Linked DNA regions of Tamandua tetradactyla. The protein of the gene in region 2 interacts with the protein of the main gene of each other region in a pairwise test. Links are inferred from orthologs where the notes say so. Each region holds a gene or a part of one and is shown on either strand. Other genes may lie near its edges.

The links.
Region 1: the proteins of DDX17 (region 2) and WBP11 interact in a two-hybrid assay, tested with the Homo sapiens proteins (3 studies listed by BioGRID and IntAct). The link is inferred for Tamandua tetradactyla from reciprocal best matches to the Homo sapiens genes DDX17 and WBP11.
Region 3: the proteins of DDX17 (region 2) and RBM15 interact in binary tests that used the Homo sapiens proteins (3 or more experiments, as listed by UniProt). The link is inferred for Tamandua tetradactyla from reciprocal best matches to the Homo sapiens genes DDX17 and RBM15.

The regions. Positions count from the first base shown.
Region 1 is NC_135333.1:77,377,639-77,388,301, forward strand, and holds the start of WBP11 (WW domain-binding protein 11), read right to left. Parts: upstream 5,446-10,663; 5' UTR 5,127-5,445; exon of another isoform or gene 4,956-5,126; 5' UTR 4,242-4,955; exon of another isoform or gene 3,959-4,241; intron 2,970-3,958; 5' UTR 2,920-2,969; coding exon 2,856-2,919; intron 2,104-2,855; coding exon 2,072-2,103; intron 1,462-2,071; coding exon 1,368-1,461; intron 1-1,367. Other genes in the region: SMCO3 (single-pass membrane and coiled-coil domain-containing protein 3), read right to left, coding at 7,173-7,850. UniProt on the Homo sapiens protein: Activates pre-mRNA splicing. May inhibit PP1 phosphatase activity.
Region 2 is NC_135333.1:30,847,996-30,858,945, forward strand, and holds the start of DDX17 (putative ATP-dependent RNA helicase DDX17), read right to left. Parts: upstream 4,987-10,950; 5' UTR 4,744-4,986; coding exon 4,694-4,743; intron 559-4,693; coding exon 408-558; intron 1-407. UniProt on the Homo sapiens protein: As an RNA helicase, unwinds RNA and alters RNA structures through ATP binding and hydrolysis.
Region 3 is NC_135337.1:12,583,796-12,594,743, forward strand, and holds the start of RBM15 (RNA-binding protein 15), read right to left. Parts: upstream 4,989-10,948; 5' UTR 4,703-4,988; coding exon 1,834-4,702; intron 1-1,833. UniProt on the Homo sapiens protein: RNA-binding protein that acts as a key regulator of N6-methyladenosine (m6A) methylation of RNAs, thereby regulating different processes, such as hematopoietic cell homeostasis, alternative splicing of mRNAs and X chromosome inactivation mediated by Xist RNA.

The DNA.
Region 1 (10,663 bases), about 47 Mb from region 2:
CCAAATTTGTAAAATGTAGACAATTACCCTAAAAGGTTGTTGTAAAGATTAAGTAAAAAAACCCGTGGCGCATAGTGAAGTAAGTATTCAATAAGTCCCCATTATTACTATCATCTTGTCTTAAAAGAAAACAAAACATAAAATCAACTTTGAATTACCTAATAGATGATACCTTAGCACCCTAGAGTTAATAATTGTCCCCAATGATATTTACACCAGAGGCAAGAACTAGAACAGTTACAGATGAACTCGGAAAGATTTGGGATCATCCAGCCAGCCCGTAAGTACTTTTGCTCAGGATAACTACACAGGCTCTCAAAAACCCTTTGATATCATAATACCGTATTTTACCTGGCTGGATTTTTGAACTCCACTTATTATCTCACTGAGCAGTTCCATGGTAACCCTTTCACTTACTGTATGTGTTTTTTTGCCAATTGTGGAAAGTATATAGGTACCTTTGTAAACAAAACTTGTAAAGATGACTTTAAAATGCCATTTTAAAAAGGTGGCAAGGGACAGAAGAAATAGAATTGGTGAAATGTTGACAACTAAAGAGCATATGGGTGTTAAGTATTTATTTTTTGCATGTTTGAAAACATCCATCTAAAAAATGACAAGAAAACCCAAATGTTCTAACATTTTGAGAATGGGTATTTGTGGGTTGGGAAAAAATTTCCAGTGGCAGCGCTATACAGACAATTCTCAGGCAACATAGATGTAAGGAAAGGGTAATAGGCAGTTACCTCACATGATTTCAGTAATGACAAAGAATGGTATTCAAGGTGCTTATGAAGCGACTGAATAAAATTATCCTATGAAATGTGAAAGGCAGGAATCCTAATATATTTTATATACTTTGACTTTAAGCATTTAATGCTATCTTCTATATCATGACAAAATAGTCATATACAGATTCTTCTCACTGGAAAAATGGGAAACTGTCTTATATTCATGGTAATTTAACAGGAAAAATGGGAAATGGCCTTAAATTTATAATGGTTTAACACTTAGATTTACACAGTAGTTGTCAACATTAAAAAAGTAAATCAAAACAAAGAAACCACAACAGAAAAAGGTAATTTCATAAACCAAATTTCAACCTTCTCTCAAAAAAAATGATCTAGTCCTACTGGATTTATCTTATAACAAAGTTAGCTAAAAATAAAAATAAAAATAGTGGTTTTTTAAAGTCATGAGCTCGCCTGTTTGCAACAGCCCACCCCCTCCAATCCCTGACAACAGTGTCAAACACCATTATGCTTTTCTTTCTTTCTTATGCTAAAGCTGCTTCACTCATTACCTGCTTGCCCCATGTGCTTCTATTACATCTGCTATGAAATTCTTGCCTTTTAAAAAATTCTTACCCATTTCGTCTAATTTCTCCATGTCTCGGATAATCTGTTTGGGATCCTTCATCTTCAAAACTGCAGCTCGTACCATCATACGCTGTTTTTTGTTCTTAGAAACATAAAAGGAGCAGAATATGAAGAGGTTGGGCACTCGTGGGTGTTTTTTAAATTTGTTTATTTAAACAGGATTTTGATCCACTCCTTAATTTCTGACCATTTGTTTTAATAAACTAGAAAAGAGCCACGTAAATTTTTTGCTCTTAAAAGGGTTTCAACTTTTGTCAAAAAGATAAGTGATATTTACAAAATGTGCTTTCTTAGGAAAGTATTATTTTAACCTAGTGAGATTTTTAGCAGTTGCTTAAAAAATTTATTCTTTAGATTTCTTTTTTTAACAAAAGTTGCAATCAAATACTAAAATTATCTATCAGAACAGAGAAAAGTTTCTCAAGATTTAATGCTAAACAATGAAAGAAAACATAAGTGAAAACTACTAGAATTCTGAGTTCCTTAAATGTTTTAAATGCATGATATTAAAAAATAAATCCTTTCTTATTCTTGGGAAGAACTTTGCCCAAAACACCATAGTTACCTATTCAAGATAATGGGTTTATAAAGCTGTTTTGTTTCACATTTATATCCTTTCACTAATTCAGCAAATTATCACAAGATACACCAAACAATACTTATGGCTACAAAGGATGCTTCTGAAACCATACCTTCTTTAATTCTCTCTTCCGAGCTTCCTTTCCTTAAAAAGGAGAAATAAAACTTCAGAATCTTGAACATTATCATTGTCTCCAATTTAATACAATTTTCACTCTGAGAGGACTTTAATTTCCACATTTTAGATTAGGAAGACTAATAACTGAGTTTTCAAAACGCAATGCTTTCTAACTGTGGCACAACTGACATCGGGGATGCATAATTCTTTGTCGTGGGAGGCCATCTGATGCATTGTAGAATATTTAGCGGCATCCCTGGCCTCTAGCCACTAAGTGCTAAAAGTAATTGTGACAAACAAAAATTCTTGAGGCATTTTTAAGCTTCTTAAAAAAATAATTATGAATCTGAAGGAAAAAATACCATAACCTACTAAATGAGTGCTTATAAACCTCATCTGTTCAAATTCTAAGTATAAAAAGAAAGCTTTAAGCCAATTCTACTGTACTGCAAACCAATCAAATTTGAAACTGGTAATATAAATACTAATTTTTTTACATCTTAGAAGTTTAACTCATGTGCTCACAAGAACAATGGTTAACTTTATACAACCGATGTGTATCACTGCTGATCTTGTAATTATGCCACAATGAAATAAACAGATTCCCCAGTGCTTATACTTTTTACCACTCACAAGAACAATGGTTAACTTTCTACAACTGATGTATATCACTACTGATCTTGTAATTATGCCATAATGATATAAACAGATTCCCCAATGCTTACACTTTTTACCATTCCTTAACATTTGCTTATCATTGCACATTAATGGACACTTACGGGCCTGGTCTGTGGGGTTCATAAATTTTCCACTCTTGGTGGATGACGTAGATCTCCGTCCCATGTTTAAAATCTGTATTGTTTACTTCTTCATCAAAAAAAAAAAAAGGCAACCTGAAAATACAAATAAGTAACTTACATTTTTCTGTATTCATAATTTTTTCCCCTTTTTAGAGTACCTTAATATCTGACAAGAAATAGTCTTGATTAATTTTTTGAGAACTTGTTCTTATTCTCAAATTTAGTATCCAAGAAAGATGGCCTCAACTTTCTTGACAAGGAAAAATTAGATCTTTAACGTTCATTAGTAAGACAAAGGGTCTGAAAAGCACTGTGCATATGATTAAATCATCAATGTAGCCTTAAAAAAAAATCAATCATAACTCTGACTGTTGACTGAAAAAATCAACCACTTTCAGCAATATGGCACAAACCATGAACACCGGAAGCCATTCATTAGCCCTTTCCCTACAGCTTCCCTTTATTTATCTGTAGGATGAAAAAAAGAATAGGGGTATGGAATTTGGGCCCAAAGACAAATAGTTCACCCATGCCTATTCATAGTTTTTCTTAGCATGCATTCTCCCAACACTTCTGAGACCATAAAAAATCATTAACTGAAATATACTTCTAATTCAGATATAGCTCTTGCTTTCCAAAAATTTAAAACTAAAAATGAAAATACTCAAAATAAGCATTATATAAGGAAGCTTTCATAAACTTCCATTTTTATCGACATACATTTTCCTAACTAGTACCTACTTGATTCCTGATTTGTATTTTTAAAAATACCTAAATGTGATAATTGTGGTTGAGGGAAAATATTTTCTACGCAAAATTTTTGTTAGGCTAAGACCATATTATATCATTTCTTCCCCTATTCCAAATGAATGAGATGTAACTTTTTAAAACTCTCTTTACAATGATAAGGGTTAACAAATTTCCTCTCTTTAGAAAGCAGGCACTTTTAAAAGAGAGCCAAAGGGAAGATCATGAAGTAGATTATTTGGTAGATTATACAATTATATTCTCTCTCCCTTTACACAGGCATTGTCAGATCAGTTGATTACGGTATTACTTCTTAAAATAAATGTTCAATTAACCTGATTTCTGCTAGATGCTTCCGAGCTGTTCTAGCGGTAATGAATTTAGCCTGTCACTGTTACTTTCTCACGAAAAAAACAAAACCCACGAGTGAGGGAACAAGCAAAGTAAGTGCATATATAAGCTCTCAGATCTGCCTGTATTTCTTTTGCTTTCTTCTCTCAATTATCAGACTGATGTTTTGACCCTCTCCCACAGATTATAGTCAATCTTTACAAATACACTGGTGGGTTAGTCCGCACAAACTACTGTTTTTTTTTTTTGGTCTAAAACAGAGGCCACCTGGTAATCAGGCCACAAAACGTTGGGTAACTTGAAAATAGCCAAAAAGGTTCCCAGGGGACGGGGTCCAGGTCCGCCAAAGGAGGCAATACTAGCAGCAACTGCCGAAACTATAACGACGGTTGACCCTGACTCGAGGCTCAAGACGACGTGAAACGTAGAGCAGCCGGTCAACGTGCAGAGGAAGCCGCGCCAACCAACCTAGATAAAACTATCTCTTAAGCGCTGGAAACCGCGACGTCTCCGGCCCGGGGATCCCCCAAATTGAGACTCGAGAGACACCAACCAGGGCGAGGAAGAACGCAGAAACGGGGCCTGGAGTTCCAAGACACCCGCGCGGGCCCTAGAAGGGACGGGAAAGGTGAAAAAGCGGAGTGGAACCACCCGCACACTCACACTTCTGCTGAATTCCCGGGACTGCTAGAATTGGGGTGTGGGCGATTTCTGGCCTCTTTTACTTCGTAGGGGTCTTCACCTCAGCCCCTCGTTCAGGTAGCCAGCCACCGCCATCTTGAAAGCTCGCGCCCCTCCGCCATCGGTACGTCACTTCCTGTGTCTTCGGGTGGACGGTCTCTTACCGTTTTTCAGTCTTGGGGACCATCCAGAATACCCAAGAACACTAGGATCAAGCTCTCTTCCGCTTGGTTAAAATACTAAATTGGTTGGCTGTCTGCTAACAGCCCGCCTTTTTACGCAGTACGAAGACTCCTAGTCCTATAGGAATAATAAAAGAGAAGCTGGGGCAGATATCTAATTGGTTGATGGCAAGGCACTCCTGTTTCCCTTCCCGCCCCCCCAACGCCGGCCGTTCTGACTTAATATCCGGGGGCATCAATTATTGTGTGGACCGAGACCCGTATTTTGAACGTAGGGACGATGTCTTACGTTGATTGTATCTCCTGGGAATTGTGCTCCTTTTTGGATTTTTCCTTTTCTGGTGACTTAAGCGGATGCGGTCCTTTGGGCGCAACTCCATTTGAAAGCGAGTTGCCGAATAACGCTTGGCGCTGTGTTTGAGGCGCTTTGCTAGGGTCAGGTGGGCCCACGTGGGCGTCTGGTACATCCCGGAGTTCAGTAATGGTTTGTGAACACACAGACCCCTGAGCACATCAGTGCCTGCATTAGGGATCCAGAATGCTAATCGACAGGATTTGTTTTTTGAAGAGGAACTGAAGGATATATGTGCATTCAGTTGTACATTTACTATTGGCGAGTTTAATTTTGTTGGCTCCTTGCCTGACTGTCCTTTATGACGTCACTTACACGTTTGGAAATATTTACCATCTCTAGACGTAGTCATTTCTTTTCTATTCCCTCTTTCCCTAAAACTCCTCATTTCTCTTTCCCCCTTAAAGGTAAGCTAAAATATTGAAAAAAATTTTGCTTGGTTACTTCTGATCCTAAATTAAGTTTCCCCTGTAAGAAAACAAGTTAGATTTAGGCCAATTCTATCAATTATAAATATTTCAGAATATTTATGTTGCTGTTAATTTTTAGTAGATTAGTCAAAATGGACTTAAAGAATATAAGGTAGGCCCCTTACTTAAACTAACCTTCGTCTTAGTAGATTCACTTTTGAGGGTGAGCCACATTGTTTGCAATGAACTAAAAAAGCATTGATGGAAAGAAAGCACAAAGTACATTTGAAAAATTAAGGTCTTATGTCTAACGTTGTGACTTGAGATATGCTGAGTGTTTTAAATTTCAAGATATTTCTTGTACTTTGGGACAAGAATCAAATACAACATTCTCACAGCAGTATATTAATTTTCTTAAGTAGAGGCTAAAAGAGTCTTAATGGAATGTCACTAATTGGTGATGGGTTCAGAAAGCACTTGTATCTGTTGAACAGTTCAACTGTACCATTAGGCCTATGTAGCCTCTGAATTTTCCTGAAATTAGGTAATTAGTGGAATTAGCCAGCAAAAGCTCTGTATAGCAGAGACAGCTGCCTACTTTGTTATTATTGAAAATGAAATTAATTTCTTTTTCTCTGAAAACTCATAGGTAATAAAGGATAACATTCCCATAAATGACAATTTCTTAAAAGAGTAGGGGCTGCCTCTCCTGTATCCCAAATGCATTTTATTGGTGTATGGCTGGAGTTTTTATTTTTATGTTCCAGAGGGTTCAAATATTGACTTGCGGGATACTCGATCAGAATATCGCAAGTTGACTGCAACGGCAGAAACGGACCTTTATCTTTTTTTGGGGGGGGGGGGGGTGGTGTATGGTCTGGGAATTGAACCTGGGTCTCCCACATGAAAGGTGAGCACTCTACCCGTGCACCCCTATCTTTTTAACTTTAACTTTCAACTTCATATTTTTAATCCATCTAGATTACAGTGTGTAATTAGCAGATGATCATGGAACCGTTGCTACTATTCATTAAAACAGATTGGTACAAACCATTTTTTAGTCTCTTCCAGTTTATAGAAAATTGGATTTGATCTTATGATTGAAAATATGGTAATACTTTAATTCCAGTTGAAGGCCTACAGCTTGTGTTTAGGCAGCAGTTGCTAAGTATGTCCCCTTAGAACTAGTTGATGGCTGAAACTAATGATGGAAATGAGAATTTCTATATTCAATGTAAATTTAAGAATTTTGACTAGGGATTAGAAAAAGAAAGGGTAACTACCCCTGCTGCTCTACAATAGCGTTTGCCCCAATGTTGGTCAGGTAGAGCAAGAATTTACATAATCTTTTATTTTGAAGGCTCTAGGACCGACTGACCCAGGCATTCATTGATAAAAACAAAAAGAAACTCCAGTGCCTTAGTTTTCGCATTTCTGATCCCCACTTTCCAAACTATTTACTCAGTTTGTACCCTTTTTGGAAGTGTATGGAAAATGAACCTAATCAAGGAAGCAAAACACTATTAATGAGAAGGAAGCAGAAAAATATTCCAGTGAGAAATCAAATGCCTGTTTATTTTATTTGGTGTTCCACTGTGTTGGTGACCTCAGTAATAATATGATGATATTTTTCGGAGGCTGACTTGAACTCCACCAAATGCTTCTCATAACTTCTGATGGCTGTTTGAAGCTGTGTTTTCTCCACTGCCCCCAGGATGGCACGGAAGATCATGTCTATGCCAAGGCCAAGAACAGTAACTCCAATACTGCCAAGGAGAGAGGCACCAATTTGAGCTAGCACAGTGACCAGCTTGTTAATTATGCCCGTTGTGACACTGGAGCCCACGAGTTTAACAGCCAGTGCACTGGCTGCAGAAGTGGCTTCTCCCAGGATGACTGAAATAACCTTTTGCACTATGGCAATTTTCTCTGTCTCCCTTTCCTTAATGTCTTGAAGTTTTCTGTAAAGGTTTGGCTCTAATTTATCTTTTAGTGCTTCGTCAACCTTTTGCAATTCCTTTTGAATTTTTGTCATGGCTTGTATGATGATATCACAGTTTTCTTTGATGGTTCCATCTCTTTTCATCTCAATGGAGGCCAACTTGCATCCCAAGTGCTTATTTAGAACCCCAATAAGTTTATTGGTTGCATGGAAGCTGTCAGATAAGCAGTCAAGAAGCTGCTGGTGAAGACGATTTACTTCCTGCCGCCTCCTTGGGTTCTCTGGATAGAGAAAATCACTCTGAGCCATATTTCAAATAAGATTTCTGAAAAATAAAAAAGTAAATCCTCACTAAGAACTTAGATAAATATCTGCTGTCTGCATAGATTGGACCAGGAAATCTTTTACTCCATTGTTCTTAAAACAATTACTTTTATAAAACTTGCAGTCATTGTATGATAGATAACCTGTGTCTCAGAATATAACCCACTGATGAATAAGTTAAGGCTTTACATTTTGTGGTGGAAAGAACTCCTAGATAAGAAATGGTTATTAATAAATCTGTTTTCCAGGTAATATTTAATAGCCTAAAATTAAAACAAACTTCAATTTGGTAATAGCTTTTAATTACCAGTCTCCTTGACACCATCTCACCCACCCCCTTCTACCAGTCACCACATCAGATAGATTGCTCTACTATTTGGAGTAAATTAGTGTCAGGGCCAGAAGGCTTTAAGATCTCTTTCAGGGCTATTAATACCAAATTTCGTGTTTATATACTTGGCTATCTTAATTTACAAAATCTGTCGTATCTCTTACAGGCAAATTGTTTTACAAACCTAAGAGATATCTGAAGACAACACCCATGTGTTAAAATCTTTGGAAAAACAGGTATATCCTCTCAATAAAAGTATATATTCAAGACTCTTTGGATTGAAATTTTTCTTGAAGAGAAGGTGAGTATGATATAGGGTATAGTGCAGTTATGACTAACTATGATTCTCCACGTGCAGACATTACTTATTTAGAATGGTTTATATTGCACTTAGCCATTAATAAGATAAGCTAGCGTAGCCTCAGAGAGACAGGAGACAGTGCCATTTCACAAAAGTACTAAAGGATATGTAGGAAGATGGCACCATACAATGAATTTAATGAATCTGATTTATAATGTGATAAGATAACCTTCTTGTGCTTGTACTTCTGGTTTGCATTACCATCTAGAGGAAAAGGGAACATGCATGTTCTGAATTTATTTGGGTGAAAAATCTGTAGTTTGACTGAGCCCAGTAAGAACACACTATTAACAGACACATGTTAGTAGGCTTACTATGTGTTTTGAACTTTTTTTTTTTTTTCATTTCAACTGTTGGGAGAAAAGAAAGAGAATATGGAATCCCATAACTTTATCTGTGTGGGATCTAGCATATTTAAGCAGGCAGCATCCTGAGTAATTTGAGCCCTACCTTTTCTAGGACAATGGTTCTTAGCCCAGATATGAGGGACCTCAGAAGCATGAGATGGAGGAAAGTAAAAATGAAAATAACCTGTCTTCTAAGTCAAAGATAAAATTTGAAAATGTAAAGGGGAATTTTTTTCCAAAATGGATCAGAAAAATAACCTTATGAGTTAGATTTAGAAAAATGAAGGAAGAATAAAGATGACCATGGTCAGAAATTTATTTTTATTCACTCACACACACACATACCTTACATACACATATACATATGCATGCATATAACAGAACTTTCCACAATACAGTTTTAAAAAATAACTAGTATTTTCTACTCCCACTTACAGAAATTACTTTGTTGAGCGTCTCATTAAATATTCTCAAGAATAACTCAATAAACTCAATGTGTGGCAAACTTTAGAGAACCGCAAATTTGCACTTTCATTATTTTCTTCCAGAATTTTCCTTTAAATTTGTCTTTTTCTGGCTCCTTGTTTTCAGATTGTTTCATGTAACAGAAACTCTAGTTTTTGACTTCGGATTTAGAAGATCACCAACTATATCACTATTTAGATATTTAGGTGAGAGGAGTCTTTCTTCCTCTGAAAAAGTGGAAAATATTTCTAGCAGCTATCATATACCATTATCTGAAGGTGTAACTTGCAGAAAAGGTGTGAGGGTCTGTATACCTGAAGTTAAACAAAAAGTTCCCACACACACCCTCCTCCAAATTCGACTAACAAAGAGGAACCTGTAAAAAGAACTGATAAAAACCTGAGAAAAATGCAAAAAAAATCTTGAGTATTATTAAGAAAAACAGTACTAATCTAACAATTAAATGAGCCAACAACTCTGAACAGACAGTGAAAGAGAAATAGTAGCTTAATAAATTGATGAAAAAAGTTCAGTTTTACCAGAAATCAGACATGGTATTTTTTTCAACTACAAAAGTAACATTTTTTTTTCCTTTTAAATGCTCAAGCCATTACACGTATACTCTAATAGTCTTCTTCCTAGGATACAGATATCAATTAATAATTTTGAGTTGAGATATCATGTTACAGTCAAAATTATTTTTCATTTCCAATGAATGAAGTCTTTCTTTTTCTGAGCCAGGCTTACCTTCCCGGCTCTTTTTGGGATCTTTTTTGGAATCTTGGAACAGATTGTGGGGAGGGGGAGTATTCCTCATGCAAATAACCTCCTGCAGGCCGGCTCCTGATACTTGCTCAGGTTCTGCCTGGGCTTCAGAGTGAATATGCTCAAGGTGTTTCCATCCCCAAAGAGAGAAAAAAGGTTAGAGAGTTAGGAGGTGTAAAGGTGGGGCTCAAAGGTGAAGCTAATGTGAATTATCTTTTGTGTAGGTGAAATTTGAAGAGCCCCTTAAAGGAAGCCATTTATTAACTCAGTGACAATTCATCTAATAAAACAGTAAGGTAAATAATCATAGTAAGTAGAGTAGAGGGTAAGATAAGTAATAATGTAGAAGGTATTATGCAAGGCTTTGTAGAGCATGCAAAGGTGAAAAGACATGGTCCCTACTTTCATGGAATTTCTGATGTGGGTAAGGAGCTAAGACAGGTCTAAAACTACAATATCAAGAGAAAGTGATGTCATAAAAACTAGATTCAGGAGGTCCTTGACTTGTGCAAATTCAAATCTTGAACAA
Region 2 (10,950 bases):
GAAAGTGAAACTTATGCCCCTGAGGTCTTTCCACTGTGCTTTCTCCTAAACAAGTACCCATTTCATGGTTAAAGTCCAAAACAATCAGTATGAGGTTAAAAGAACAAACAGAAGCACAGATGTCAATATTTTAAATTTATTTAACTTACTTCATAGATTAAAAGACATGATCTATTACAGTTAAAATTATGTCTAATAAATAGGTTAGGAAACAATCAACATATGAAGGATTACATTAGGTGCATTTTTAAACTGGTTCCTCTTATGAGTGGCAGCAGTCTTAATAAGCTAAGAAAAGTACATCACACTTGAATAAATCATGACAACAGATGCATGTTTGAGTAACATTCAGTCAAAATGTTCACTTGGTTCATTGACATTTATGAAAAATAAAATTAAAAACTTACGGGAGTCAGCCTTGCCACTTCTGGATGTTCCACATAAAAATTCTTTTCAAACTTGGGGAGCTCACTCAAATCCCACTTCTTTTTACGTAAACGCTCCCCAGGATTACCAAATTTCTTCGGGGGAAGGCCACCACCACCTCTTGCTCCAAATCTAGAAACACCAAAATTTTAGTTTATATTTAAAAACAATATAGTTTACCTGTATGTAAAAAGACAGGATTCCTAGGATGCTACCATCTCCTTTCCAAAGAAAATATTTCTATACTTATTTGAAGGTATGATGGAATATATCCAAATAATAGTTATGACTATGGGTTACAATAGGTGAAAAAGTTTTAATTATCATATTTAAAGAAATACGGTGATTATGATAACTGATTCTGGAACAAGAAAAGATTTGTATTTTGTGCCACTTACTGTATAATTTTGAACAATTTAACTACTCTGTGTTTCAGTTTCTACTGTCAAGTAGAAATAATACTACCACCTATTTCATAGGGTTGCTGTGAGAATGAAATGAATTTGCACACAAGCTTACCTGTAACCTGCCTAAAAGGATGGCTAAAGGAAGGCCATTAGGTTAAGCTTAAATTAAGGGCAAGACCGTGGACAGAAAGAAAAATATACTCTTCAAGCAAGTCCCCCTAAACTGGAAACAGCTTCCCGGAACTCTTTCTCCTTGGAACAGTGATGAGCACTGCTACTGTCTATTTATATGCTAAGGAAAACTGCTAGGACCTGTAAAGGCCTATGGTTCTAAGTGTGGCAGGGTAGTCTCTACCTTTAGTTTATGCTATTATAACCACAAACCATAACAAAGGTTTATGACCTCTCTCTTTTCTCATCTCTACCTTAACCTAATCTCTTTCTTGTTCCCAAGCAAACAGTGCTATTAATGTAACTATTAGTTTACAGAATAAACCATCACACTCAACTTTATCTAAGGCTTTTAAAAACTATAAGCTTAAAAAAACCACATTATTTAAAATCAATTTATTCTCACTTTATATATCTTTTATAACAGTAACGCTCAATTGGAATTGAAATGGGACTACTGGTCAAACCTGAAAGTTAAGTAAAATTAGAAGCTAGTTTTCCCAGAAGAATCCTAACATTAAGATGACCTTCATTTCTATACTCAAACTACGTAATTGTGGAACATTGTTTGGCATGTAAATATAGTATTTTTCATTCCATTTTCTCATTCCTTGTATGATACAATACTGAATTTAAATTAATTTTCCTTTTCCACACCAACTCACTCATAACATCATCCTGTTATAAAGTTTCACTTCATAGTTGACAGCAGTAGCTCAATGTCCTCTCATTCACATTATTAGATGCCTCTCTAAATACAAAGATTGCTAAGAGAAAATTTTACCTGGGACCAATGACGATCTATACACAACAGTTCAATATTGGCTGATAAGGTATACATTACTGATGAATCAGTAAGAGAAACCAGAAATTAAAAATCAAAACAGGGAAAGCATACAGAAGGGTACATATATCAACGACATCTCTAACACGCCTTCAGGCTTAGAGCTCAATATAGAACAAGGCCACTAGTCATCCCGAATCAACCCTCCCCTCTTTACTTGTAAAGGGTGCTGCTAGCGCAATACTATTCATGAAATAAAAAGCCAAGTCTTTAGACTGTTAGTGTCTTGAAGAAAATCACAAAAACCAAAGACCAGTTTTTAGAGATTCCATCCGTCTACTTCACATAAATTTGTGGATCCCAGAAATGCCATTTTCAGGACGATTTTCCAGCGCAAAATTATACTGAAAAGTTCCTCTTTTAAAGTTTATTCTAAGCAGCCTTTTATTTAAAAATATAAAAAACAAATCCCTTCTTCCAGTCATCCTGGCTATTTACCTAAAACGTACTATTCTACACTCAAGATTTAACTTGAATGATGAGGTTCTTAAAATATATGCTGCCTACCACGTTTGTAATTAACACTGACCTCAAACCTCAGAGCCCTCTACTTAATTCCTGAGCATACGCGATGCAAATCCCCAAGTTTTTTGCATAAAGCTGTTCATTAAATCATTTTACTGATTCAGTATTAACAGTTCAACTTGGCTTTGCAACAAATACAGCTTTGAGGATTCTGTATGGACTTGGAAAATTATGCTAGTTTAAGTGTACAATGTATATCATCTTTGGACTGTTTATGTACATACAGGGCTGGCAGCCATTTCCTTTAAAGGTAACAATCCATTTCAACTATGTAATATTCAGTTAAGAATGAAACAAATTATAAAGAAAATTTTATGGTGAAGATGGATTTAGGAGTTAAGCCTTATTTAATACGTGCCATTCTGTTTAAATGAACAACTTTTAAAGTTTTTTAAAAACTGTTATCTTATACACAAGGAATATGGGGTAAACTAAGTATGGATTAGTAATTCATTCCCCCTTCCCTTTTCAGATAACTCCTCATTCAAAACATATATAAAGTAAGCAAACATGGGGCAGGCCACGGTGGCTCAGCAGGTAAGAATGCTTGCCTGCCAAGCCCGAGGACCTGGGTTCAATTCCCAGTGCCTGCCCATGTAAAAAAAAAAAAAAAGTAAACAAACACTTAACCAAACACCTACGGTAAGAAGATCACCACCATTATTTTCATAGCCTCTCAAGTGTCTGTTTCAAGTTTACAATTACCACCATTACTACTATGTTGCATTTTATTATAAAATAGTTTGCTTTTTAGTTTTACCACACCTGTTTCAATCCCTAAATTTGTCCTTCTACCATGATCTGAATTTTAGAAAAACTCAATATGTTTGGGAGTCACCCACGCTGATTCAAGTTCATTCATTTTTGTTGCTGTACTGCATTTTATTATATGAATACCCACAATGTATCCTGACTTTCGGGTTGTTTTCAATCTTCTGCCATCATGAATAATGCTGCTATAAACATTTTTTTACATATATCCTGGGGGCACGTGTGCAAGTTTCTCTAGTCCCTAGAGTCTAGGGCATAAAGAGAGGAAATTGCTGGGCCATTTTCACGGGTATTATATATTGTGAAATTCTTTTTCCTAAAGTTGGCTGTATTGGAATTCGCTTCTCAACTTAGCTATACGAAGACAACAAAAGCAAACATTCCACATTTCTAGCCTCTATGTTTAATACTGAGACTGAGATCAAGTATTTTTCCAACAACGTAGAAGTCCAAAAAGTAAATTTTTATATTGTAAATTAAAAGTGTTAATTGAGGGTTTGTGGCTAGTAAGTGGTGCTTCTTTATCATTTATCTTACCACGAAAGACAAGTAATTATTACACCCATCATCAGATGAGAAAATGAGCTCACAAAGGTTGAGGATCCTGCCCAAGGTCACATTATATTACGAAATGGCATCACACTGCTCTTTATCCAGAGATACACTTCTATAAGTAAGCACTTTTTTTTAGCCGACATTAAGGCCTGTGATCTCTGCATGTAAGAAGAGTTCAGGTTTAATCCCGCATTAGCTTCCAACCTAGTAACCCCGGGATTCCCACATTAAAACTTTCTAGGTTGTTCGAGAAGCTAGTGCTGCAGTCTGAGAAAACAGACCGAGGAGAACAGAAGATGCCAACTTTACAATAAAAACCAGAAAAGAAAAAAACAAAACCCCCTTTCTTCGTAAACACAGCAACTTTGAGTAATTCCACTGCTTTTAGTATCTCCGTGTGCTTCCTCCGACTTGAAAAAATAAAGGCGATTTAGTATTTTTTAGTACTTTGTTTCCAGTTCCGCTAAATTATCTCCGGCGATAGAGAACACGAGAAAAGCCATTTGCGCGTTAAGATTTTCCCAAGCTTAACTCGGAGGTATCATCCTCTTCTCTCAACAAAGAGCTTATGTGTTTTACAGATGAACGCTGAGGCCTGGAGAGACCAAATGACTTGCCCTAATCGGCCTGGCACTAAAAGACAGAGAGGCTCAGGACGAATATGCGGCGGCCGGGCCTTCCCCCTCCTGCCTGCAACCCACCCGGTCCCGGCCTTTCCGCTCCCCCCGGGCTGGGCCGCGCCACGACGACCGTCCGTAAGGAGTGGCTGGAGCGTCGCCAAGCAGCCGCTCCTCCTGCCAGGTCACGAGTGACCCCAGGGCCGAGACCCAGGCCCGCACACTGAACCGGTATTATCGCCCCGGGTCTCCTCGCCTCCGGGCTCGGGAAGGATCCCCTCAAATCCCCTGTTAGGGCAGAGGTTTCCGTCTCGTCAAGTACCACCTCCCCCCAACCCCCCGCAGACGCAAGGTCTTTCTTCTCCTCCCTCCCTTACCCTCCGCGGTCACGATCCCGGTCCCGGTCCCCAAAGCCGCCTCCGCGCATGGTCCCAAATGGATAGAGATCTGGGAGCGGGGCACGGATGGCCGGGCTCGGGAGGGCCTGCGGCTCCGGCCTGGTGACGACCGATGGCGGCGGCGCCTCCGCTGTTGGGGCGGCGGCAGGCGCGGCGCTTTCTCGCTCCGACGCGCTATCTCCCGTCGCAGACGCCACCGTCGCCGCCTCTCTCGTCGGAGACGGGAGCAAAACACAGAGAATCGGGGATATAAAAACGGTGGGTAGGTTTGGCTACGCTCAAACCCGGCTTCGCCGCGGTTTAGGCGTCTCCTTCCTTCCCAGCGGCTGCACAAAATGGCGGCCGCCGCTGAGACTGCTCCAGCTCAACGCTACGTACGTCAGAGACGATACGTAAACAGCGTCTTAGAATCACCCGAGGGATCGCGGGGTAATAGGGCTATTCTTGAAAGAGGTTTACGTCGATTGCGGAGATGGACACGTTTTACGGAACACGGAAGAAAAATAAAGTACGGAGCGAGCGTAGAGTTCTCGCGCCACCTGAACTAGAACGTGGGGTGGGGGGATGGGAGGGGGACGCGCCTCTGTTGCGACGAAGCATTCTTTGAGGCGTTAGTCGGCCCACTATTGCGAAGATGCGTACTATGCGTAAAGCATTCTGTTTAAAGAATAGAGGGTTTTGTTGGATTCCAGTAGCGGCACGCAACCTGAAGGCTGCTTGTGCTAGTTGCTTTATAGATAAAATAGCTTCCATGTTGCAGTCGTCAATTTTCAGGGTCTCCAAGTGTCAAAAGCTCAAGAAGATCTTAAGGGTCCTCGGTTGGCGTTTCTGGTGCCTCTGTCGACCCCTCACCCCAGTGCTCGGCCTTGTCGAGACTGACCGCGCGCCCTGGCGCCATTTCCTTTCAGTTGCTGCTCGCTGCGCTTGTGCCGGCGGCCATGATGGATGCGCCGCGTCCCGTTCCTTACGGAGTGGGACCCGCGGTGACTTGTCGGCCGTGATAAAACGCTCTTTGTTATGTTTGATTCACACAAATGCATTTCCTGAGCAAATTTTTGCACCATCCCCGGCAGAACACAATTGTGCTAACGCAGCGGTAAAATGTGGGTGAGGCATCTCTTCAGGTTGATGCGGGGGTCCCTTGGCCGCCATTAAAGGCGGTGCTCCAAGAGACCCTTGGCATTCTCTGGTAATGAACATGTTTAAACCGGTGGTCTTAAGACACAGAAGGGGGATGGGAAGCATAAGTACAAGTTTTGAACTAGGTAGGCCATATTCTTTCCGTTTCTTCTAAGCTGACTTCCCATTCCTACTTCCTGATAGCTGGAAAATATGCTTACCCTAGCTGAGTTTAGCAATCTCCTCTTTGTACTTTAGTTCCAGAAGGACATTAACCAGACATTGGAAGTTCTTTTTACAGGAATAAAATAACAATAACATCAAGAACACCCTCTGGCCCAGTGAATCAATGACTTCCTCCTCAAAAGACAAAAGTTTGAAAAGAATCCTGAAGACCCTGAATGTAGGAGCTTGGACGTTATATATCTAAAGCTAATCTCTGAAGTTGGAATAAGATGTGCTTGAGACAAAACAGAATTAAGAAATTGCTGGTACTGTCCTCACAAAGATCCAGTGTCATCCCTGACTTGACAAGAAGAAGTTGTGGACGTAACGTGGGTTTTGATCCATTTGTCCTACCCTTTACCTTTAAAAACCCTACCTCACACCCCCACTTTGAACTGGTTTGGGGACGATTCCTCCAGTTCCTTGCAAAGTGCACATGCAATAAATCTCCTTCACGCTGAGACACTTTCTCCTTTGTAGAGCTAAGTCAGGTGGGCCCTTCTATTGGAAAGAGCCATGCTTGCAGTATCAATTCCTTTCCCCTGAAACTGCAGTAAGGTCTCGAGAATTTGGCCACATAGCATCATAGAATTGTCAAGCTGTTAAGGCCTTTTGGAGATCAACTAATTTAATATCTCTTTTTTTTTTTTCCCTATGGATGGGCTCAAAGGATGCGGCAGATATGAAGCCCCTTAGTGTGGTGGCTGAGTGGGGTCTCCTATCATGTTTTCTGAGTGCTTCCCAAATTGTTAGAAAAGTGGCATAGGGAAGAGAGTTTTGTGATAGGCCATCCCAGGTATTACTTGAGCCATAGACAGCAGTGGACACTCAACCATGTATTACTTTGGACAAGTGCTGAATGCCTACCATGGGCACTGGGGCACGGTAGGGCACACACAGAATTTGTATGCTAGTGGGGAACATAGAAGATGAATGTTTATGCGAGGTAGACTCCAACTGAAGTAAAATAAAAAGAAAGGAAAAATAAAATCAGGGAAAAGGGATATACAGTGTGGGGTGGGGTAACGTGGTTAGGTAGTGTGTCCTGGGAAAGTCTCCCTAATAAAGTGACATGTGAGCAGAGAGCTGAAGGGAGGGAGCTAGTCCTGCCAGCGTAAGAGGGAGAAGCACAGGCAAAAGTCCTGTGGTAGGGCTAGTGTAACAGGAGTAGCATGAGGAGGAGAGGTAAGAGGCAAAGCCAGATCATGAAAGGCTTGTAAAGGTCACAGTAAGAACCTTTTCTTTTCCTCTGAGTAGAAAGACATGGAAGGTTTTGAATATATCCACATGATAAAAGGACTCCTGTAACTACAAGGTGAGGAATAAATTGAGGATGGTCCAGGACAAAAGCAGGCATATTACCTAGAAGGCTACTGTAGGAATCCAGGGAAGAGATGATGGGACTTGGTACAGATTAAGAGCAATGAGTTGGGAAGAACTGGTCTGATGGTGAAGGTCAGCCAATGATTTAGGGGTGGGTAGGATGTAAAAGAAGGAAGAGTCAAGGATGAAACAAATATTAAGCCCCATCTGTGATTTAGATGATAGGGTAGGCACTCAATGGTGTTTGGAATGATTTGCGCATTTATCACATATGCTAAGTAAGCTTGAGGCTCTTTAGTCAACAAATAGTATATAAAGAAAATGCAATCTTCCCTACATTTTACCAGGGGGAGCAATTCGTATTTTGCTACTAGATCAGGTCCTTTGACTTCCTAAAGTTTATCACAATATGTAATGATATATTTTTGTCATTATTTGATTAATTCAACACCACACACACACACACACACACACACACACACACACACACACACGTATGCTAAAAGATTAAAGGAAGTCTTCCTCTGGCAGCCAAGTTTCTGATCCCAAAGTGAATCTATAGAATGCATTTCTCTTTCATGATATGAGTATCTACCAAATATGATTGAAGTTTATTATGTTGTTACTAAGCATAGAAAAAGATTTTCATTAGGTAGGTCAGAAAACCTAGAAATTTCGGTAGCAGCCAAGTCTTCTGGTATAAAGCAAAAATATTCTTTGCTTAATTCATTTTTTTTTAACTAAGAGCTGACAATTATTGAATGCTTATGCTCACTAAGTGATATGAGCTTTTATTTTATCTTCGTTATTTTATTTTATCCCCAGCTGTAAAATGAGATAGTACCTCAAAGAGATGTTGGGAGGAGCAAATGAAATAATACCAGTTATGCCTGGTACATAATAAACATTCCACAGATGTTAGCTGTCATCATCTCCCCACTTTACAGAAGAGAAAGTTGTGGCTCAGAAAGGGTCAGACAGTTAGCAAATGACATAACTGGGAAACACCACTAGGTTTTAGGTTCAACATACTTAACTATAATACATATTATTTCCTTGTGGGATCACAAGATCAATTTCATTCTCTTTTAAGTTGTCAAGTTTTTCTGCGGATGTGATTTGCCTTCCACAGATTCCACCTGCCAGCAATACAATTGCCATTTTTCTCATTTTTATCTGCTTTATTGTGATTACAGCAACAAAATTTATACTTCAGACAATTTTCAACTACTAAGAAAATTATTTTAAAGCCCATACCATGAACCAACTATTCTAAGTTTTTACTGACATTCTCTTATATAACTTTCACAGTTCTTCAACTTTATAGCCATTAGACTCACCTAAATGTGAAATATAGTGCTACTGGTTTTTGTCTAGGTAGGACCCAGGTTCTTTGATACTTGGTTCAGGAACTTTAGATAGAATACTGAAGTATTCAATAAGTGCTTTAGTTTCCTGGCTGCTAGATTAAATACCTTAAGAACAGGACATTTTTTTGCTTTCTGAGGCTAGAGACCTTGCTTCCTCCCAGGGCCTTTCCCTGACTTCTGGCTGGCCGGCAATCTTTAGAGTTCCTTGGCTTTTCCATCATGTGGCAAAGCACCTGGCAGCATCTCATCCTTTTTCTTACTGGAACTGTTAACTTCCAGCTTCTGGTAAATCCCCACAGTTGTCTCTGTGCCCAATTTCTTTTGCTTATAAGGACTTTAACCATACTGGATTAAGGCCTACTCTCATTCAATTTGTCCATCTTAACTAATAACATCTTCAAAGGTCCTGTTTAGAAATGAGTTCACACGCACTCACAGGACCAGGGGTTAGCACTTAATTATGCCTTTTGTGGGAGACATGATTCAGTCCCCAACAACTAGGTAGCCTAAAGCAGATGCCTTCAAACTGTGGTATATAAGAAACATATAGAAAAGAGTTTTCAGGAAGTCTACTTTGAGAATTTTAACTTTTGTATATATTCTTTCATAAAATTGATATAAATGAAAAATTTGTTCACAATTGTTCTCTCCCACTTTACACAAGAAAAGAATACTTCTATCCAGAATATTACTTTGGACTTTGCCACGATGGAAAAGTCTCTGAGGTGCCAAAAACAAGGAAAATTAGAAACACTGGCATTGACTTTGAAAAGGTGAATGATTCTAACTACTAGGTAGCACAGTCTTTTGCAAATTAAGAGAAGAAGGACCATATGAAATATCCAATTCTTAAAGAAGAGCTTTTTCATGTATTTTTAAAGAATAATGGTGGGTATCAAATTACTGTGGTATTTAAATTCCATTGGGAAACATCTGAAAGAATGATCTGATGGTTTCATTTTTAAATGTCAGTATTTCATAAATTGCATATTTTTTAAATGATTTAAACTTACAATGAAAAAGTTCAGGTATCAATCTAAACTATTTTTTTCAGAATTTTCCTAGGGGGTAATATTTGAACACCACTGAGCTAAGAAAGTGAAACCAGACCAGATAGGCCTGGTCCCAGGAGAGATTCCCAGGAGAGCAGAACTTCATCAATCCCCCAGTTGTAGCCAGGCAGAAATTTCAGCCCAGCGATGTTAATTATTGACATCTACTTTGTGTGTGTTGGTGACTTCTGTATTAGAGGGGCTTATAATGGGAGTCCACCCTCACTAAGCGTTTTTCAGCTTTGCTATTTTGTGTAAGTCACTTGCTTAAAAAAACCTTCAAGGGCTCCCCATGATCTAAACGCCCAGCTTTGACTCTAGTCTCACATACCAGGCCTTCCAGATTCTGACCCCAACTTCTCACCAACCCTCCTGCTCCAGCAAATCTTGTCTATTCTCTATTTTCACCCACAGTTTTTACTTTGCCTCTCCATGTGTGTTAATAGAAGGACTTGAGATCCAGTTCCAAGCCCCCCACCCCCACCTTGGAGCCTTCTGGAAGTAGGGATCACCAGGCCTCTGGCACTTAGGGTTTCCGCCATTCTTTTGGCATTAATTACTTACCACCAAGAGATGGTGTGGTTCTTCCCCTAACTCACACTGCACACCCATGCTGAGGAGGAAGAGAGTTCAGACCATGCAGTCATCACACAGCAGTGAAATAGTCAGTTGCCTTAAAGAGACAGAATGACTCACAAACCTAGGGACTAACAGTATTAATGCACCTTAAAGACTCTAAAGGAGAAAGGAGGACATGATAATTAACAAGATGTGGCAAAAACTTACTACACTTACACACACAAATGCTTGGCATTCATCCTTTTGAATGCTTGGAATGGTATATCCACCCTGCCCTTTGTCCCAACAAATGGACCTTTCTTATTAGGATGGGACAAGAAAAGGTTTTTTTTTGTTGTTTTATAACAGAAAAAGTTATTTGTTATGATTCCCTAGCAACCTAAGTCAAGGGGAACCGGTAGGTGAAGGATTTGGGGTTTGTTTAATAGAAATGAACTTAAAGACAATATTAAATGATATGGGGGTGTAAAATTAGAGAAGCCAGATAAAGTAAAAAAAGCTTCACATGAGAACAGGGAGAGATGGGTAGGATGCAATGAGACAGTGGTTTTACCTTCAATAAATCAGA
Region 3 (10,948 bases), on a different chromosome or scaffold from region 2:
CAAAGGATCTTCGTGGTCATAGCCTAATACCTTCTTTCTCTCAAAATGGCTAGTTTCTCCAGAATTTAAAAACAAAAACAAAAAAGCCACAAAAACCTCCATAATAAAAAAAAAATTACAAACACATAATGAAAACCAAAAGGATGATAGAGAAGTGAAAAGGCTTCCATGCTGACATGCATTAGACACCGTGTCATAATGGAAAACAAAAAGTTACATGGCATTTTCCTGGGTTATTATTGGTGCTATTTCAAAACTGCCAGTTTTGATAACAGAAAGAAAACAGCTGGGCTCTGCCAGGCTTTCAATAAGTAACTTTCACAGAATAAAAACATGGCCATGATCCCCAGTCCTAAAGTTTCTAATCATAATTAACCATCAAGGGGCTTAGCTGAAGTCTTCAGCCTTTAAATCAAGGGGGGGGGTGGTGGAAATATACTCCCTAATGACCTAAGAAACTAGAGGAAGAAACTAGGGGAAGGGGTGTGGATGTAGGTAAGGAAACAAGAAAAAAATTATCCATTACTATTAAGCAGCAAAAGACCTTGTTAAGAAAAAGAAACTGATAAAATCCTCAGCTTAAAAAAAATTGGGGGGGTGGATTAAATTAGTTTGTACTATGACAATACTTTCCAGGTGTCTGGGAAAAATAAAACAATAAAAAAAGTTTTTCCTAGACTAACATTTCAATTTTCTCTGGCTGGACATAAATGAAAATATTAAACACGAAATCTCAAAGATATTTAAAACATTTCCAATAATGTAATGTTACCACTACTGTTTAAATATGAAAATAAGAGCTTGAGAAAAGTTAAAAAAAAAAGCATAGCAAGGCATTTTATGGTAACTTTTCATAAATTCTGCAACACAGGTTATGTCTGATTTATGCCCAATGAAACAAAAGACCCTACAAACAACTCTCTATTATTAACACCAGAAATTTAAACGGATGCAAAACCCAAAACTATATCTTTGCTGAAGAATACTTATTTCCGAAAAATGCAATTAAATTAGAACTGAATCTGCTACACCTCTCTGGAAAAGGTCAGTTAAAACACCACCATACACCAATCACTGACTAAAGAATTCTGATTTTAAAAGCACCTACTCACTTCCTGCATACTAGTGTAATCGAAAGTCACATATGGTTTGTAACACAGTCCTCAATTTTTACTGAATAGATACGGCTACAAACCAAAAGTGCATATATGGGATACAGTAGAACTCAAAAAATGATGATAAAAACGCGCACTTAAAACAAACTCTCTGGGAATAAACTGTGCATTTTAAGAAAAATACTCAATATACCTGATTAAAATAATTACATTTCTATATAATTTATCAGCTTATACTTTTGAGATCCTGATCAAATTTTAGTCACACAAATATTTCTGATACAGGAATTATTTACTTACACACCAATCAAGTAATTTTTAAGTATATGCTACCATCTTTATACAATCACTGGTCTCTTTTCTTCAAATTCTGACCTACCGAAAAAAATTTTGGTTTTGTAACTTCAAGGGTTGTTTTTTTTTTTAAGCTCAAGGTTAAAAAATTTAAGAAGGGAGAAAAGTAACAAGGTGGGAACTCCTAGTTAAAGCAAGTCCATCTGCCTGCTACTTCTAGGGCAACCTTTACACCTAAAATAACAACTAAACTGTCCTGACTTCTATTTTTAAAGAGGTTATAAAAATATAAAAAAGAAAAAGCTATGACTAAACAACCAACTAAAAAGAAAATTGCCTTTGATGCTGTATCCCATTACACATCACAAAACAGGAACCATGTAAAAGTAGTAAATACAAATTACACATGTATCTTAAGACGCACCACGGACAATGATCATGACCAGGTAATCTTCTTCAGATTTAGCCAGTGCCTTGGCAGGGGAATCCAGGAACTGCTGGGAGAACTCACAGGGTGGGAAGGCATGAAGGACCCCGGTGTTCTCCTTGTCTTTGTTGCCCCCTACAGGGAGACTGATCACCCCAGCGGCCTGCTTTTGCTTTAAATAGGACACGAGGTTCCTAAGAGGCCTCTGGGTAGAGGTGGCAGTATCTGATGTGGCCAAAGAGGAGGAGGACCGGCTGTCAGAACTTCCAGGCACAGCCAGAAGAATGGCATAACCATTGGGCCCTGCCACTTTGATGCGTCGAGTTACTTCATCCAACTTGGGCTGGTCCAAACGGAGACGCTGAGTGATCTTGAGCTGGGCTACCTTGCCTCCAGTTGAACCCTCCACAAGAAGACTACTAGCCACTTGAAGGTCACCCTGCAACAGATGCATGTTGGATGGGAAATTGCTGTTCTTCAGTAGAAGCATGCCCTGCCAGGCCAAACAGAGTTTGGGAGAGGATGCTGCTGCAGGTGCTGCCCCACCATCCTGTTTCTGGGAAGGGGATTTCAGCTTCGATGAAGCAGTGCTGGTGCTAGGTGCACTCCCATCTGACCGGTCTTCTTTTTTCAGAGGGCTTTTACCCTCGGTGGGAGCAGCTGTCCGGTGCTTCCTATCCCGTTCTGCTGATGCAGAATTTTTACGGTCTCGCTTGTCACCTTGGCTCTTCTCCAAACTACCTCGTCTGTCTCTGATTGGAGAGGGCCTTTCCAAGAGGAGAAGACGGGAAGATCGATCATTGTCACTGTTATAGCGATCCCGGCTACTGCTCAATTCTGGACTGCGGTCAGGAGAAGGGGCACAGTGACGTTTTCGTGGACGGTCACTATCAGGGGACCTATCCAGATGCCGTCCCCCACTCTCCTCAGGCAGTCTTCGCTTCCTAGGCTGGTCTCTGCTGCTGGGCAGATCTCTCTCACCTCTGTCCCGGTCCAAGGACCAGCCATCACGCCTGCGATCAAGGTTATCCAATGGCTCATAAGCAGGCACAGCAGTTGCTGCAGTCCGAGTGCTGCGTTCACGGACTGGGGGCGGTGGTGGCACCCAATCAGAATCAGGATAAAGGTCCCTGTCACGATCTCTGTACAGTAAGGGTGGTGTCCTGTCCCGAGCACCTCTCAAAGGGTCAGGTGCTCGATGTCCAAAAGCATCTGTCACCAATTCGTAATGAGTCAGGGGAAGAGGCTGCAGATATTGTTGTTGGTAACGATGTTCCGTGTCTGCAAAGTCTACTCTAAGGCGACGGTCTGGGCCACCAAGTGGGAAGCCCCGCATATGGGTCCAGGCAGCATGAGCTGCATCCAGGCTTTCATACTGGATATATGCCCAGCTATCACCTTTGCGGTAGTCTATGGTGCGTATAGTGCCAAATCTGTCAAACTCCCGTGCCAGGGCAGCAAGAGGCACCCAAGGTCCCAAACCGCCTACCCAGAGGCGGGTGGTGGGTGTGGCTTTACCATAACCAATTTTTATAGGATTCCGAATTATAATTTTGCCAGACATTGCTAGTTTGGCTCGGTGAGACATGTCCAGGTTCTCGAATTTGAGAAAGCCGTAGGTACTGGTCTGGCCTCGAGAAGGCCGCTTGATGTCTACTTCTGTGATGACTCCAAAGCGATCAAAAGCCCTTCTTAGATCACTCTCTGTCACAGTGATGTCTAAGTTACCCAAGAAAAGCGTCCGGTTTGCTCGCTGATCATCCTCAGGTGAAATCTCATCCACTTCTCTGAAAGGAGCCGCACCGGCTCCACCTCCCACTCTTGGCTCAAGACTGTAGGCTGGACGCACTCTCTCATAAAACGGATAGTCTCGCTCTCTCTCCAGCTCTCGGGGCAACGGTGGCGGTGGTGGTGGAGGCAGGCGGCCAAGAGCCAACTGCTGCAACCGGTAGTCTCTGTACCCCAAGGCAGCACCACCAGGGGAAAGTGATCTCTGGCCTCCACCACCTCCCCCAGGAGGGTGCCGGTGTCCACCTACAGAAGCCCCAACCACACCGCCTGACGCAGGATAAGTATCTTTGTCTAAAGGAGAGCGGCTGCGGCGTCTGCTCACATACACAGCCTCTATCTTCAGGGGCCGGTCATAGAGCACTAGGCGGCCTCTGGCATGCTTGGCCGCCCGCGCGTCCTCTGGCCGCCGGAAGTTCACAAAGGCTACCCGTTCATCCCCGCTGCCAGAACCCGAAAGATGACTGATTTTGACACTTACATCACCGAAGCGTTTGAACTCGTGAAATAGACCGTCCTCCACTGCTTCGTCGCTCAACTGGGACCCCAACTCGCTTATCTTCAGCGTCTTGTATTCCCCGCTGTCCCCACCACCAGGAGTTGAGGAGGCGGCCCCAGAGGAACGTGACTCCCCGCCTCCACCCCGGGAGCTGCTGCGCGACTCGCCCCCGCCCGAGGAATTTTTGGTGCTTGGGGAGCTGTAACTATGTAAGCGGCTACTGGCGCTGCCCCCACCAGTGTCATACTCGCGGCTGCCACCTCGGCTGCTGGACTTGTCCAAATGAAGGCTCCGCCGCGACCCGCCGCCGCCGTCGGTCTTTCCGCTGCTGCTCCCATTGCTGCCTCCAGAGCCTCCTAACTTCTTGCTCCGCTCCGCGCGGGAAGTCGAGTCCTCACCACCACGAGAACGTTTAGCCTTGACTGGTGAGCGCTCTTTTCCCTTCATCGTTGCAGGTCGTCGCAGGTCGTCTCCGCGGAACTGATTAACCCGCCGCCGCGCGCTCGTTTCACACAGCGGAACCGCACGCCGCCATCTTGGACTCCGCCGCGGAAAAGGATCCCGCCCCGTAGTCCTCATTGGTCAATTAGCATCTCTGTTCTACAGTCTCATTGGAAAAACTGTTTGTCTGTCTTTACATCTCCCCGCTCTCCGGGAAGGTGCCCGCCCAACAACTGTTATTGGTCTCCCAACGCCCTAGTCAGAGTATCTCATTGGTGGTATTCATTGTCTATCTTAACGGTTCCTCGCGCCAGGCTATAGCCCCGCCCCTGCACTCTATAGTCACCTGACCCAAAGCCCGGAGGCGCTGATTGGACAAAAAGTCTGCCTTGTAACGGTACTTCTTGCGCGGCGAAAGCAGCGTTCCCACCTCTTCATCCTTTTCATTGGTTTGGGACCCCGTCCTTTAACACACTATTTGGAAAGTTGGGCCATCCGTTTTGACATTTTTTTTCTCTGAGAGGCAGTCTCACACGAATCTCGCAGGCGCGAGCGCTCTCTTTCGATCCCCTTCTTCCAACTCCTCCAGCGGCCAAAAGAAATTTAAATTTGATTGGATGTTGATGAGGAAATTGATAGGCTGGAATAACTGTCCATCACTCGCTTAAGGGGAGAGACCCATATACTGAGGAGGCTGACTGAAGGTGAAAACTAGAACACGCGCTTGCTGTGCGACGTCACTTAGATGTCGCGAGATGGTGATCATGAGCCAACTCCGCCTCCCCGCGCTTTCGCAGTTCACCCTTCAAACATTTGTTCGGTCCCGCGGCGTACTTAGCGATGCTGCAGCCCGTGGAGCTAGAAACTTCTGGGCTCCCCACCGTTCTGCCTGTGGCAGGCGAGGCACTGGGTAGGCCGTCCGGCTGTTAGAAGCTGTCCCGGGGTGTGTGCGAGGCACCACCCCCTCCGGCCGTTTCCCCAGGGCGCGAGAGAGCGTCCCCCGAGGTCACTGGGACCCGCGCGGCCGGCAGGGGCCAGGAGTTCTCTTTTGACACGCGCGGGGTCAGACTAAAGCCTCGGGGTGACGCTGCGATCTGGCGCGTTCTCTCAGGGTCGGGCAGCGAGGTGGTAGCGCAGCGGGGACGCAGCCCTAGCGTGCCTCGCCCGGGAGCCGGGCTTTCCCTGACGCTCCCGGTTCCCACCCACGGAGCGGCGGTAACCCAGGGGAGTGACCGCGATCCCAGCGTCTCTGTTCGCGGGCGTGGCGGGAACTGTAGGGCTATAGCGGACGTATGTCTGGGCTTCCTGTTTTATGTTGCGAATGCACGTGGTTTGTCTGTTCTTGGCGCTGTAGTCTAGCTGTATTTGTTTTCATACGCGTTACCTCTCCCCTTGAGATAACCGGGTGAGATTTACACCCGCTGCAGATGCGCCGCGCTTTCCTGCCCGCACCTGCCCGCATCCCCGGCTATTCTGCATTAGAACCCAGTAGCGCAGCCACCTGGCTGTCTCCAAATCCACCTCTTTTACCTCCGTCAATGATTATCCAACTCTCATTCTTTGCACAGACCTTTATTGTGTCAGACGCTGTGCGAGATGCTGGGTGAGGCCGGGAATTGGCTGACACCGAGAATTTCACCGTCTGCTGGAAGGAAGTAGTGCCGAGTAAGAATAAGATCCCGAAAACTTGAAAACTGCCTAAGACGGGTTCGCAGCTCTGCATTAGATCTGCTTCCCTTTTTTAATAATTTTAGGGGAAGTGATGAAGGGGCCTTTCATCTTTTGATAAGATCAAAGAAACCTGAAAGAGGCCCACAATTAAGTGGATATGTAAAACATAAAAATCCACAGTGAAATAGTGTGTAGATATACCCACTGGATTAAAAGTAACTACTATGGGCGCCAGCTACCATGCCGTGAGATTCCCCAACTGAGGCAGTCTAGTTGACAGTCCCAACTGAGCACCCGGGTGACAGCCAGCACCAAATAAATGCCCGTGGGCGTGAAGCATTTTCCATGTTCCAGACCATTCAAGCCTCTAGGTGACCGAAGTCCTGTCAGACACCAGATGCCACATAAGAGCCAAGCAGCTTGAGACATTAAGCCTACAGCAGCTGATAGATAGATAGTAAATCATTATTTAAAAAAATAAACTGGCTACCAAAAGTTTCATAAGGTGTCTAGTATGCTACCATTTGTGGTTTTAAAAAAATGTATATAAATATTCATACCCACACATATATATGTATCTTTGTATATTCGTAGAAACCTACTTGAAAAATACTGAAGAAAATAGTTACCAGGTTACCCTGAGGATGGGAACTGAGAGTCTGGAGTAAGAGAGGGAGACTTAACTTTTCATTGTGTATCATTGTTTTGCTTTTTAAACCTTTGTTTTACCATGTGCCACTCTTTCAGTTTGAAAAATAACAATTCTTTTTCACTTACAAAGAATACTCTGAAGAACCCGGCACCTAATTTCTGGGGTTTTTTGGGGGTTTTTTTTTGCCTTCTTTTATTTATTTATTTATTAAACATAACATACAAGAATATTCTTACTATATGATCATTCTATTCTTGATATATAATCAATAACACAATATCATCACATAGTTGTATATTCATCATCATGATCATTTCTTAGAACATTTGCATCAATTCAGAAAAAGAAATAAAAAGAAAAAAATTCATGCATACCATGCCCCTTACCCCTCCCTTTCATTGATCACTAGCATTTCAGTCTACTAAATTTAACGTTTGTTCCTCTATTATTTATTTATTTTTAATCCATATGTTTTACTCATCTGTCCAAATTGTAGATAAAAGGAGCATCAGACACAAGGTTTTCACAATCACACAGTCACACTGTTAAAGCTATATGATTATACAATCATCTTCAAGAAGCATGGCTACTGGAACACAGTGCTACATTTTCAGGCACTTCCCTTCAGCCTCTCTCTCCATTATACCTTAAATAAAAAGGTGATATCTATATAATGTGTAAGAATAACCTCCAGCATAATCTCTTGACTTTGAAATCTTTCAGCCATTGACACTTTATTTTGTCTCATTTCTCTGTTCCTCCTTTTGGTCAAGAAGGTTTTCTCAGTCCCTTGATGCTGAGTCCCAGCTCATTCTAGAATTTCTGTCCCATGTTGCCAGGAAGGTCCACACCCCTGGGAGTCATGTCCCACATAGACAGGGGGAGGGCAGTGAGTTTGCTTGTTGTGTTGGCTCAGAAAGAGGCCACATCTGAGCAACAAAAGATACTCTCTGGGGGTGACTCTTAGGCCTAATTTTAAGTAGGCTTAGCCTGGTCCTTGCGGAGATAAGTTTCATGCAAACAAACCCCAAGATTGAGAGCTCGATCGATTGTTTTGGTTGTCCCCACTGCTTGTGAGAATATCAGAAATTCTCCACATGGGAAAGTTGAATTTTCCCCCTTTCTCGCCATTCCTCTGAGGGGACTTTGTAAATACTTTTTTTATTTACTGTTCAAATCATTCTGGGATTTATCAGGACATCACTCTGGAAAAACCTACACAATCTCATGCCCTACTCAAGATTCTGTGTATTTATGGTGTTCAATTAAACTGTTCACATAAGCTATATTAGGAAATGCACTAACCAAAATATAAATTTTGTATCAAATAAACATTTTTTCCAGCACCTAATTTGAACAATTAACAAATCATTTCAATCTTGTTTCTCTCTAACCTCTTCCCACTCTCCCTCTCTCCATTATTTTGCTGCAGGCTTATCTAGTACATTATCTGTACCACCGCACAACCCCAGTTCTCCAAGGAGTTCTGGTTCCTTTAAATGGAAGATGGTATTTAGAGATAAGAATCTAGACACTAGGGGGTTTTTTAAAAAAAACTTGCAGTATTTGTCAACACTCGAAATGCTCAAAGAAAAAGCTTTAAATAGAGAGTTTGAATCTATTTTAAGGTTATATTCCTACAACACAAAGGGAAACTGAAGGAACCCCGTTACCTGATTACTCAAATCATTAGCTGATCCAGATAAACCAGTCTCCAGAATTAATACTTTTGAACTAAACTGACTTGCTTAGTTGACTCACTGATTAAAGAAAAAGATAATAGTTAAATCAGTACAGTTTCCCAAAACTAATTATAGGGGTTGAGGAAACACAAGAATTCAGGGAAAGAATTCCAGTTTGTACTGCCTGCTGGACAAGCACCAGTACAAATGTGTGGTAGTGCCTGAGGCTTCCAGGCTTGACTTGCTGCTTGACATACCAGGGGGCATGATGGAAGCAACTGCTCACAGTTGGCTGCACTAGTAATGCTTGCCTGAGGGAATGGTAGACTTTTTGGAGACGAGAGGACTGGTGGGATGGTAGCCTTCTTGGAGACAAGAGGACTGGTAAGTTTTATGGTTAGTCTGTAAAGAGCTTTACCAGTGAAAGAGCCAAAACATAATGCCTGTAATGTGTGTGTGTTCACAGTAGAGCTAAATAATGCCAAAATATGTTGGATCCATAATGTAGTTAAAAGAAGTGATTTGTTTTATTTTCTTTTCCTTTGTCTTAAAGCATGAAGCTGTTTAGTGAGTTTTTATCAGCTGATTTTACACATGTCTTTTAGAGGGGTTTGAGGTAGGATTAAAGTGACCCAGCGTTTAAGAGCCAGAACTTTGAAAACTTTTTCTGGTATTGGTGAGGAAGTTGAGATTCGGTCCAAGCTTTCATTTGGTCTCCTTGTGATCAAATGGCCGGATTTGTGAGGTTACCTGACCTGGGGTGAAGAGGATCTCTCAGTGGTCAAGAAAACAGTTAAATTACCAACAACTTCCCGGAGCAACATAGCAGCATGTTGATCTCTCCTTTTCAGTGCCCTTATCCCAAGTTAGGAAATAATAAGGAAAAGTTTCATAGCCTGTTCTGGAATGAGGGTGACCCCTTGGAGCCGTGCAACTCTAAGGTCCTAGAAGACACAGCCCAGCAAGAGAGCAGACACAACTAGCTTTCTATATGAGTCCTTTTTCTGTCTCCTTTAAAATCAGTTTTAGCTTTAAAAGGAAAAAGCAAAAGAAAAGTTATACACATGGAAGAAAACTGCAATTTTTAAAAATGTATGTTTTCAAACAAATGCCCCTCCTTTCACCCTCTTCCTGGATTTTATTCTTTTTGTATCCGCCTCCTCAATACACACACACACACACACACACACACACACACACACACACACACACACACAGTTGTGATTGCAACACAAATTTTGTCTTGGAAGTTCAAAGCCATTTATTTCTTGGTAGATACAAAATAGGTTGATGCTGGGAACTGAAAAAAAAATTTTCCACCCACAAAAATAGATGAAATTTTAAAAATCTATCTCTGTTCATAAAGTGAGTACTCTCCTGACAGGTTTATTTTGTTTGGCCTAAGGGAAAAGTATATATTTTTACACATAGGCATATATTAAATCCCTAAAATAGTAGGCAATCATTTAGGATTGTTTTCATTGTTTGTGGTATGTATTTTTAAAAACAGATTTATTTAAAAGTTCCATAAAGCTCGCTCATTGCATAAAGTTCACTCATTTAAGTTATACAATTCATTGGTTTTAAGCATATTGAACAGAGCTGTTCATGTGCTTTGTCCTTTACCATTGTCACAGAAAGCTCTCTCTGCTGTAACTTCTATATGACTAATCCCTAATGCAATAATCTCTTTCATTTATTTAGTCATTTTGTGGGTAAATGGTTAAGAGCCCGGATTAAAATTACAGCTCTGCTGTGGACCTTGGAAGAGTTCTTTTAACCTCTTTGTTCCTTGATTCTCTCATTTATAAAATGGGAATAATCATAGACTCTCCTTGTTGGGAGGATCAGATGCGTTAAAACATAAAGAGTTTAGAACTGTGCCTGGCACATGCTAAGCACTATACAATTACCTACCCAAGGGCCTTTACATTTTTCAAGTATTTATCAATAACAGTGAATACCCATGAATACAACATCCAATCCAAGAAATAGAAACTAGCAATAATTTATATCTAAGTTCGCCTCCTCTATCCTGTCGACTACCTACCCCAATAGGTAGCTACTATTCTGAATCTGACGATTATCAATACTTTGCTTTAAAAACAAATGTGTGTGTGCATACACATGCACCTTGCCAGTATAATTTTTTAGTTTTGCTTGTTTTTGTGCTTTATACAGATGATAGCATATTGTATCTAACCTTATAAACTTTGCATTTTTCATTATGGTACTGTTTTTGTGTGTAGTTGGTTTGTTTCCATTGCTATACGATATTCCATTCTACTGAATTTAACATCATTTATATATCCATTCTCCTGTTGATGGACATATAGATCATTTCCAGTTTTCGCTATTATGAGCGATGCTGGTATGAAG